Linked DNA regions of Stegostoma tigrinum. The protein of the gene in region 3 binds, or shares a complex with, the protein of the main gene of each other region. Links are inferred from orthologs where the notes say so. Each region holds a gene or a part of one and is shown on either strand. Other genes may lie near its edges.

Region 1 (3,753 bases), on a different chromosome or scaffold from region 3:
GTGTGTGTTTTTATACTGATTATGTGGACCTCTTGATCAACTGGCACACTACTGGTCCCATAGGGCACCAGTTAGTAAAAGGTTTACTGTACAAAGAAAGAATGAAAGATATTATTTCTCCAAAACTGAAAAAGTTATTCTAGTTAATTTCTAATTCATTACCTTGCACTCTGTAATCTTTGGTATTTGATGTGATAAACTTCTGTGAATTCCTCAGCTGGGTACTCATGCAATACAGAATATTCTTCAATGGTTCCATATAATGCAAACAGTTCAATCAACTCCTTCATGACTCCCACAGCTGGCACTCCCTGTATTAGCAGGTGCTTCGATTCCAGATTTATTGTGTACACCTAGACCATTGTCAAACATGAATGTGGGGGAAACAAAGCCAGTGATTTCAAAATCATCAATGCTATATTATTGCTTTAGAGTGGTAGATCCCATAGTTTTTCCCACAGTGATCCCACTAAGGGAATCAAGGGTTACAGGGAGAAGGCAGGACAATGGGATTGAGAAACACATCAGCTATGACTGAATGTTGCAGCAGACTCAATGGGCTAAAAGGCCAAATTCTGCTCTGATATTTAATGATCCTTCAATACTTTGGGATGAAGGTCATAAATTCATCAATCTTAAATCAAGTTAACTTTTTAAATACTATCTATACTAAATTTAATTTCTGACTTCCCAAGACCCTTGTTCGGGAAACAGACACCAAGGGCTGCTCTTTAGTTGGCTCCTCAATATAACTGCTCCAGAAATCCAGCTCATTCACAGTCCAGGAATCCTCCAGAGCATTAGTGCTGATTTGATGGACGATAGATAGTATAAGGTACTGGTGGAGGTTAGATAGACCTTAGGTTTAGGGTAAAAGTTCCACACAGCTTCTATGTTAACTGAAATTATCCATTATTACTTTATTACCCACAAGTACACGCAAGTGTAATGTCCTGATTTGTACTGTGTCCAGTATCACCTGTACAATTTAGTGATCTATAAAAAACTTGAAAAAAATTGTGCTGCCCCTTACTGTTCCTTACCCTACCCAAACTGATTCTACATCTTTTGGAATAGGGTTATTCCAAGGCACAACATCGTGGGTCAAAAGGCCTGTACTGTGCTGTACTTTTCTATGTTCTCTGTTCTATCTTCATCCTTTCATCCAAGGTTCCCTCTCACTAATCTACTGATCCTGTCTTCTATTAAGAGTGCTATCTCATCTCCTTGTCCTTCTTGCCCATCCCTCCTAAATCCCAAATGTTCAATTTCCAATCTTGGTCACTCTGTAACCACGTCTCTGTAATAGTATTTAAATCCAATTACTACAATTTGTGCATTTAAATCAACTATTTTGCAATTGTTACTTGGATTCAATAAATTGTTTCTAATTCTACGTGTTCATCATTATGCTCTATTCCTAACATAAGGAGATCACAAATTATCTTCTCCACAAAGCAGTGAAGGATGGCTCACTGAACTTATCCAAGGCTGAGCTGAATGGAATATTGACAAACAAGGGAATCAAGGATTATGGTTTGCAAACAGAATAGTAAAGCTGACACCATAATCAGATCAGCCATGATTTTACTAATTACACAACAGCTTTGAAGGGCCAGATAGACGTCTCCTGCTCTTGAATGTTGTGGTCCTCTACAGCATTGACAAATTGTTGTTCAGGTTCAGAAACAGGTCTGTTGGGTGAGTGAAGTCCTAAAGCTCTTTGCAGGGATGACATTGTCATCCAATGCATAGCCATACTGACTGTGGTATTTCCAAGACAAAGAAAGATATAGGAGATCTGCAAATGAGCTGTATGGCAGAAAGGTGGTGGTGAAATTGGAAGCCGTCATTCAGTTCTAAAATGCAGAATTTTAAAATATGCCATTACATGTGAACATTGGCTAGGAATTTGTTGTTTGTTCTTAACTGCTCTTGAAAAACAAACAAATGCTTAACTATCTTCTCAAATTGCTGCAGTCCACGTGGTTTACTTATTTCGCCGTAGTGTTAGGAAATCAGTTTCAGAATTTTGATAGCAAAATTAAAGGAACCGAAATACGGTCCCGAGTGCGGCTTGGAGAAGTTACAGGTGGTGGTTTCCCACGTAACCGCGGCTCTTGCCCTTCTAGGTGGTAGAACTCATGGGTTTGTAAGGTGTTATTGAAATTACTTGAATGCACCTGTAATGTATCTTGTATGTAATACTGTCACTGTGGTGGAGGGAGTCAGTGTTTAAATTAGAATACCGTTCAAGCGAACTGCTAGAATTATTATACTTCAGTCGACAGAGTGAATCTCTAGCCAAGAATCATAAATATTCTAGAGTTTACAGGGTTAATTTAAATAACCTGTTTATACCCGCTAACGTTTAGATCATAACCGAACTGTTTATAATTACAAAGGAAAGAATTGGAAGGACAGAATTCTTTCTGGTGAGGTAATCGAGCGCAATATTTTGCCATTGAAATTAGATAATTTAGCAGTAAATTATTAAATGTTTTCGACCATAAAGTGGAAATCTGGATCACGCTCAATGTCGACAAGAAAACGATAAACGTCTTCTAAAGATCCAAGAAAACTCCAAAATATTCGCATCTTTCCACCAGACAGCCATGTTGTATCCTCATTGAGAACAACATTGCATTCAACGAAAGACTTTTGCATTCCTCGCAATCAATGAGCTGCAGGACGGGATCGGGTTGTTTCACAAACCTTCACCTACATCCGAAGCAGCACTTACTTTGACAGCCCTCAGCCTCCGACCCTCTCGGTACTTGGGTCGCGTGAAGCAGACGTTTTCCTGCCGATGGTGTCTGAACACCTCAGGAACCCGAACAGCCATCTTTGATCGAAGAAGAGACGATCGCAATCGAGTACCGATCGCTCGATGACTAGATCGTTTGGCACCGGCCCCGGATGGAGTCCCGCCTCCTCCGTGCCCTCCCGTTGAGCTCGGGATGTGATAGGTCGGTCAGAGGTCAATCGAAGAAATCTTGCGTCGGTAGGTCATTTTCGGAAACGGAAACTGACGGAAGTTGGCTGTGCTGGATCTGGCGAATGCGGTCTGTGTTCGAATCTGTGGAATCCTGCGCCTAACGGTGTAAGCGGCGCGAGTTGTGCCCTTTGGCAGCGCGCGGCAGGATGTTGGTTGCCGGGGCCGTCTGCGTGCAACTCAGACTCGGCAACATCAAGGACTGCTTCCTGCACCTGGCCCCTCAGCGAGCATCGCAACTTCATCTGGAGGAGGTGATAGCCGTCGCCAATGGCGTCTTCCCTTTCTTCTCTTCCCCGCTACCACTGTCTTTTTGATTTTACGCCTGCATTTATTATCCATCCCCGGTCACCTTGGCGTCGGGGTTGGGTGCAAGTGATGTTCATTTCAGAGGTCAGCTACGTTGGTGAGGGACTGGCACCACATACAGGCTGCTGTGAGTGAGGACGCCAGATTTCCTTCTCTGGGAGAACAAAAGCAATTATTGAACAGTTTGGATATATATAGTAGGCCGACAATTTAATGGATTCTATTGCTGCTGGTCTTTCATATGTTTTCTCTTAAAAGCGTTGTATTTTGTGTCGCCACGCGCAGTGACTTGTAGCATGTGACGTATTGTGTATTAACATTGTATTAGACACAACAGTGTGGATGGAGCTGGAGGAACACAGCATCAGAGCAATACGAAAGTCGATGTTTCGGGTTGGGACCCTTCCTCATTTATATTTTGTTTATAATTAGTTTTTAGTAATGGCATT
Region 2 (3,753 bases), on a different chromosome or scaffold from region 3:
TGGTGTTAGACGTGTTAGGCCATCAAGTTGTAGATTGCATTGGGAGTACAATAAAGGCTATTCTATTCTGGAGTATCATTACAGCCCACAGTGCCTCACGGATGTTTAGTCTGGATTTGCTAGATTAGTTCACAACCTATCCCATTGAGCACGATGGTAGTTCTAATGAAGGGTGTCTCCATGTGAAAGTGGGTTTTTGTCTTCACAAGTACTGTGGTGGTCACTCTTGTTGATACACCTACCTCCTCTATTACTCAACCAGCTCAGTCAGCTGTCATGCAGCAAAGCCACCCTTGGTAAATGTGGCATCATTTTAAGCATTCTTTGTGGAAAAGCCAGACGGCACGGTGGCTCAGTGGTTAGTACTGCAGCCTCACAGCGTCAGGGACCCGGGCTCAATTCCAGCCTCGGGTAACCGTGCGGAGTTTGCACATTCTCCCCGTGTCTGTGTGGGTTTCCTCCGGGTGCTCCGGTTTCCTCCCACAGTCCAAAGATGTGCAGGCTAGGTGGATTGGCCATGCTAAATTGCCCATAGTGTTCAGGGATGTGTGGGTTACAGGGGGATGGGTCTGGGTGGGATGCTTTAAGGGGTGGTGTGGATTTGCTGGGCCAAAGGGCCTGTTTCCACACTGTTGGGAAACTAATCTTTAAAAAAAGTTACTCTCAGTAAAATTAGTTCAGATAGTTAATACACACATAAGAAAGGAAATTCATCCTCATCCCTCCATTTCCTCAAGAAATGGAGAAACAGGCAATTCTGAAGTGCAGAGAGAGTGGAACTGTAGATCCATCTTCTATCCACCTCCCCCTCTCTCCCTATTTATTTCAGAATCCCCTTCCCCATTTCTGAAGAGTCTAGGCCCGAAACATCAGCCTTCCTGCTCCTCTGATGCTGCTTGGCCTGCAGTGTTCATCCAGTTCTATACTTTGTTAATTCTGAAGTGCAATTATGTTCGTACTATTTTCTAATATCAAAAAAACTACAACTGAGTTCCCATAAACTACAAACAAAATGACCTGGTAGAAGAACTTTTTTGGCAGTGTTGGAAAAGCAGAACGCTGGCCAGAACACCAGGAGAATATTATGCTCCACTCTGAATGGAGCCATAAGGTTTGTTTTCCATCCAGTTGAATCATTCCCTCATTTGACCATCTGTCTTTTTGACAGAGCAGGGCAATGTAGATCGCACCCGAGATTATGTATATGTTCTGGAGACGGGTTTCCAACAACATTTTGACTCATGAGCGTGCAACACTTCCAAAATATCACTAGCTCACCCTTCTACTGAACCACAAAAGATATTTAATCCACCATACCTCTGCCAGCTCTTTCAAAAGGGCCACCACTTCCTCAAACTTTCTACAGAATTTTCCTCTTCCAATTTTTTATTCGACTCCCATCTAAAAGTTACTTCTGAATCCTTTTCGGGAAGTACTTCCATATCGCAGCATGTCACTGCACAAAACACAGTTATTAATTTCACAGCAACTCAGTGGTTAGCACTGCTGCCTCAAGTGCCAAGGACCTCGGTTCGATTCCAGCCTCAGGTGACTATCGGTGTGGAGTCTGCACATTCGCCCCAAGTCGGTTCCTACTGACGTTCCGGTTTCCTCTCACATCCAAAAACGTGCAAGTTATCTGGATGAGCTATGCTAAATTGTCCAGAGGCATGGAGTCCGGGCGGAATGTTCTTCGGAGAATCGGTGTCGACTCAATGGGCCAAATATTATGTCCCTCTTACTGTCGGGATGCTATGGTCTGATCTGTGTATATATCCAACTTATATTTTTTTCCCCGCGCATGCCCCTATCCCTACCCCAAATATTCTAAAAGGAACTGTTGATTCTGTTTGTATCACCCCTCGCATGAACTCGTCCTGTCAGGGTACGACCCAAACCAACTCGGCAATGCCACCCCCTCTAACCTCCGATCCGTTCGTAAAATCCACACCTTCGCTCCAACTAATGTTGCCCCTAAAGCACGTCGAACTGAATTTAAAACGCCCACAACAACTATACCGCATACGAACCTCGTAGAGAGACGAGTTTATGGCGGACACCGGCCAACGATGTTTCTCGACCCCGGCACGTTAAAGAGCAACACCTTTCCCAATTCCAGCGCTGGTTTTCACGTCCGAATATCCCACAATGCAGTAGGTTATGGTGGCCCAAATGGAAACTAACGGAAGCGCTTGATCGCCGTTTTGAATTTTATTCATCGTGTAGTCGCTGATCCGAAGTCTGATCTCGTTTCAGATGGTAAAGGAGGTTCCTTCTTCTGTAATGCCATGACAAGTCAACTGTAGCTATTAGCGATGATTCAAGCATTTTTTTTCCAAATACGTAAGTTAACCGTCAATAAAAACAAAATTTAACACAAAAAATCTGCTGAAATCTAAGGTAGACAATAGGAGGCTGGAAGAACACAGCAGGCCAGGCAGCATCAGGAGGAAAGCAGCAATCAACGTTTCTAGTATTACCCTTCTTCAGGACTGAAAATGATACCTTCCCAGGATTTTTATTTTAATATTGATGTTTTAATCATTATCTTTGATGTTTCGAAGGCATCCTGTATCCGATACGCTGCTGAGTGCACCAACGGACGCTTGTGAACTTCCTCTGCAAAGGAACCTGGCAAGCCCTGGTCTGTGGTAGTAAACTAGGTAGAATGCTCCTCCAGTACCGTGACCCCGACTCCACGTTCCTTGATCACCATCCATACCAAACAGCCTCACACGCTTGATGGCCCGTGTTGCCTCTTGGCAGTGACCTATGCAGAAAATCCAAATACAACCTTGGTAACGTCATCAGAGGCACCAAGAGGAGTTTTATTTTACCACAGAAATCGACTGACCTGGATGAGGTCCCAGGCTATGTACTCAGATCCCTGTGTGAACCAGTAGCCGGGAACATTCACAGACATCTTTAACCTCTCCTCACTACGATGTGAAGTTCCCACTTGCTTCAAGAAGACCACCATTTTCCTGGTGCCACATAAAATTTATGCAGCCTGCCTCAATGATTGTCTCCCAGTGGCTGTGACCTCCATAATTATGAAATGCTTCGAGAGGTTAGTCATGGCTCATGTCAATTCCAGCCTACATAACTGCCTTGAGTCTGTGCAATTTGCTAACAGAGAGTGCTGCTGAGAAAGATTCAGGGAGGAGTCATCTCAGTCATTGCCCTGGAGTGAATAAAAGGAAGGCAAGTTGTAGCAGAGCAGCCATTTTGAGAAAGGCAGCTTTCTAGTTGAACTGCTGGAGGTTTAGATGTGGGCTTAAGTGAATACTGGGCTTGGGAGAGGAGGGTGAGCAGCAGCAGGGTGAGGTAGTTGGAGGAGGAGTGAACTACTGCAGCTGCTGAAGACACAAGGGAAAAGGAGAAGTAGAAGAAAGTTTAACTGTGAAGTCACAGGCAGCAGGTAAGTGAATGGCTTGTGCCTGTTGAGTAATTTAGCATCTCTCTTACTTACCCCTTGCTTTGCTACTGCTGTTAACATAAGGATAAAGTCATGGCAGGAGATCCCAGACCCATGTCATGCTCCTCCTGTGAGATGTGGGAATTCAGGGACCCTAACAATGTTCCTGACTCCTCCACGTGCTGGAAGTGTGTCTAGCTGCTCCTCCTGTCAGACTGCTTGATGGCTCTGGAGGCTTAGTTTCAAGAACCCACCTGCCCCAGTGGAGTGCAGTAATATCTCTGAACAGGTTGGCTGAAAGAAAATGTAAAGTGCAGAGGGTTGCTTTAAAAGAA
Region 3 (3,753 bases):
CCAACACCTCTACGTCTTTTTGTTTGCCGTCACTCCCGAGGGCCCTATCATTAACTCTACAAGTTCTGTTCAGATTTGCCTTCCCAAAATGCAACACGTCATATTTATCTAAACTAAACTCCTCCTGTGACTCCTCTGCCCATTGGCCTATCTAATCAAGGTCCCATTGTATTCTGAGATAACCTTCTTCATTGCCCACTACACCTCCAATGTTAGTGGGATCTGCACATTTACTAACAATATCTCCGATATTTACATCCAAATCGTTTATGTAAGTATCAAAAAGCAGTGGACCCAGCACCATTCCTTACGGCACAGCACTGGTCACAGGCCTCCAGTTGGATAAACAACCCTGCAACACTACTCTCTGTCTGCTATCTTCAAGCCAATTTTGTATCCAATTGGTAAGCTCCCTCTGGATTCCACGTGATTTAACCTTGCTAACCAGTCTGCCTGTGGGACTTTGTTGAAGTCTATGTAGGCAAGGTCCCCCACTCTGTCTTCAATCTTCTTTGTCACTTCTTCAAAAAAACCCATCAAATTATGAAACACCATTTCCCATGCACAAAGCCATGTTGACCGTCCCTAATTAGTCCTTGCTTTTCCAAATGCATGTAAACCCTTTCCCACAGAATCCCCTCTAACAAGTTGCCCACCACTGATATCAGGCTCACTGGTCTATAGTTCTCTGGCTTCACTATCGCATCCTTCTTAAATAATGGCACCACATTAGCCAGCCTCCAGTATTCTGGCACCTCACTTGTGGCTATCAGTGATACAAATATCTCAGTAAGGATCCCAGCAATCTCTTCCCCAGGTTCCTAATGTTCTAGAATACACCTGATCAGGATTTATTCACATTTGTGTGTTTTAGGACATCCAACACCACCTCTATGATATGGACACTTTAAAATATCACTATTTATTTCCCCAACTTCTCTAGCTTTTATGTCCTTCTCCACAGTGAATACTGATGCAAAATACTCTGAGTATCTCATTCATCTCCTGTGGTTCCACATATAGATGGACACATTGATCTTTAAAATGCCTGATTCTCTCCCTAGTTACCCTTTTGCCCTTAATACATTTTTAGAACCTCTTTGGATTCTCCTTAACCCTATTTGCCAAAGCTCATTCCTGTTCCCTTTTTGCCTTCCTGACTTCCCTCTTAGGTATACTCCTACAGCCCTTAAACTCCCCTCGGGATTCACTCAATCCCTGCTGTCTATACCTGACATATCTCTCTTTAGTTTTCTTGACCAAAAACTCAATTTCTCTAGTCAGCCAGCATTCCCTACATTTACCAGCTTTGCCCTTCGCACTAACAGGAACATACTGTCTTTAAACTCGTTATCACATTTTGAAAGACTCCCATTTTCCAACTATCCTTTACTTATGGCTCGCCTTTCCCTATCAACTTTTGAAAGTTCCTGGCTAATACCTAATAATTGGCCTACTCTAGTTTAGAATTTTAACTTTAAGATCATGCCTATTCTTTTCCATAATTATTTTAAAACTAACCGAATTATGATCACTGGAACCTCAGTCACCGATCCTACTTCCCAAGAGAAGATGAGGTGTTACTGCTTGTCAAGCAGGTACATCCACATACGGAATAAGAAAATTTACTTGTACACACAAAGTTCCTCTCCAAGTTCTTAACACCATGGCAGTCCCAGTCTATGTTTGGAAAGTTAAAAGCTCCTACCATGACAACATTATTATTCTTACAGATGTCTGAGAACTCTTTTTTTTCCAGTTTCCCACTGACTATTGGGGGAACCTATAGTACTTCTAAATATATTTTAATCAACCGCTCAGACATGTCATATCACACCTCTGGAGCAGGTAAGATCTGAACCTGGGGCATCTAGCCCAGAGGCAGGGACACTACAAATCTACCATGGTGTACTCAACTGACAAATTCATTGGGTCTGACAGCATTTACTAAGTTAAAAAAATCAGAGTTAATCAGTTCTGAGGAAGGGTCACTGGACCCAAAATGTTAACTCTGATTTTTACTTCACAGATGCTGCTGGACCTGCAGAGCTTTTCCAACAACTTTGTTTTTGTTCCCGATTTACAGCATCTGCAGTTCTTTTGTTTTTAAGACCAATTCATTGATTGGGTGTCAATTACAGGCATCCTGTTTATCACTGACTGACTAGTTATTTTCAGTTTTGTTATTAAAGTTAAATGGGATAAATGAGGGAGTACACCACTCTGGGAAGTGCGGGTAAAAATATTAAACCAAAACCTCATCTCCCTGCTCAGGTGGATGTAAAAGATCCCTTCACAATGTTTTAAAAATGAACAGGAGGGTCTAGGCCCGAAACGGCAGCTGTCCTGCTCGGCTTGCTATGTTCATCCAGCTCCACACCTCACTATCTCGGGTTATCCTCAGTGCCCTGGTTGAGGTTTATCCCTCAGTCTACATCAGGGCTATGGGGAGACGTTGAAGGGAATGGCTCTCCTCCAGAGAGCCAGCACTGACAGAATGGGCCGAACAGCCTTCTCTGATCGCTAGTGGGAGTGAGTGTGAGTGGCCTGCCTGCTTTTTTTTTTCCCTTTCTCTCTCTCCCTCCGTCCCGGGCCTCACCGCCTGCTGCGGAACCCCTGGGACCGCCTCGTTCCTCGGCCGCTTGGTCGGAATCAGCGCCATTTCCTGCGCCTTGCGTTTCTGATCGATCATCGTCCTCGTCGATGTCTCCGAACTCCCGACGGCAAGTCCCTCTCCCAAACTGAGCGCCTTCAGCTAAACGATCTGACCCCCCCCCCTCGCACCCACCTCTCAATAACACGGCCCCTCATTACTCAGCCGTCCGGCTTAGCCCCTCCTTATCGCGTCTTCTATTCGCTACCCCCGGTGTCCATTACCACTGAGGGGGCGCGACCCATGGAGATCCGCTAACCGATTTGCTCAGGGCGATGTCACTCAGTCCAGGCTGAGTAAGGCTCCTCGCAATTGGCTACCTGTCGAAGCTCCAAGATGGCATGGCTTCTGAGGTGTGGGGTTTATTCATTTGCTTCATTATTTTGATTTTCGGTATGACTTATCCAATGGTTTAATGTGAGAATTAGTTTGTAAATGGTATCTATAAAGTGTGATATGTAGGTACAGGACACGAGTTGGCTGAAACAGAAACAAATTGCTGGAGGAACTCAGCGGGTCTGGCTGTTTCTGAGGAGAGAGAAAGCAGAGTTGGCGCTTCGGGCCCACTGACACTTCATCAGCACCTCTTCCCCATAGAAGCTTTCAGGCGTGTGGAGTTACTCCGGCAGTTTATGTTTTTGTTCCAGATTTCCAGTATCCGCAGTCCTTTTCATTTTTACGTACTGCAGGCTCATCAGCAACTCCGGCAGGAGCCCCCACCCCACTGCTTTGAAAATATCAGTGCACCGAGACTGCAGCTCCACCACAGCGTGTGTTCGGTCGAGGGCGAAAGGGCTCTGTCTCTCCGCCTGGTCTTCCAATGCAACGTGGCGGTGTCCTTGCACATTTATAGCCTAGAAATATAGCCCCCACACAGTGTAACTGCCTGTGTTCGCAGAGAAACCTGCTTGTGTACACAGGCGTCATTGATAGTTTCTGTATTCAGAGGCATTCTCTTTCTTCTCTTCAGCTGCTGTGCCCTAAGAGGACTGGAGAACACGTTAATGTATATTTTGATTTATGTTGGCCCATGATGATGCTTGTCGGAGTACCGCAATTGTCTGCTGTCACTTTCTACAGTTTTGCTGATCAGGAGCTAA

What was found.
Region 1: snrnp40 (region 3) and rbm48 share a complex: the UniProt entries of both Homo sapiens proteins name them as parts of the minor spliceosome. The link is inferred for Stegostoma tigrinum from reciprocal best matches to the Homo sapiens genes SNRNP40 and RBM48.
Region 2: snrnp40 (region 3) and cwc15 share a complex: the UniProt entries of both Homo sapiens proteins name them as parts of the minor spliceosome. The link is inferred for Stegostoma tigrinum from reciprocal best matches to the Homo sapiens genes SNRNP40 and CWC15.

What each region holds. Positions count from the first base shown.
Region 1 is NC_081355.1:77,255,455-77,259,207, reverse strand, and holds the start of rbm48 (RNA-binding protein 48), read right to left. Parts: upstream 2,932-3,753; 5' UTR 2,846-2,931; coding exon 2,744-2,845; intron 354-2,743; coding exon 163-353; intron 1-162. Other genes in the region: pex1 (peroxisome biogenesis factor 1), read left to right, coding at 3,145-3,249. UniProt on the Homo sapiens protein: As a component of the minor spliceosome, involved in the splicing of U12-type introns in pre-mRNAs.
Region 2 is NC_081359.1:46,830,117-46,833,869, reverse strand, and holds the start of cwc15 (protein CWC15 homolog), read right to left. Parts: upstream 2,321-3,753; 5' UTR 2,031-2,320; intron 1,457-2,030; 5' UTR 1,318-1,456; intron 1-1,317. UniProt on the Homo sapiens protein: Involved in pre-mRNA splicing as component of the spliceosome. Component of the PRP19-CDC5L complex that forms an integral part of the spliceosome and is required for activating pre-mRNA splicing.
Region 3 is NC_081377.1:34,184,746-34,188,498, forward strand, and holds the start of snrnp40 (U5 small nuclear ribonucleoprotein 40 kDa protein), read right to left. Parts: upstream 2,771-3,753; 5' UTR 2,693-2,770; coding exon 2,600-2,692; intron 1-2,599. UniProt on the Homo sapiens protein: Required for pre-mRNA splicing as component of the activated spliceosome. Component of the U5 small nuclear ribonucleoprotein (snRNP) complex and the U4/U6-U5 tri-snRNP complex, building blocks of the spliceosome.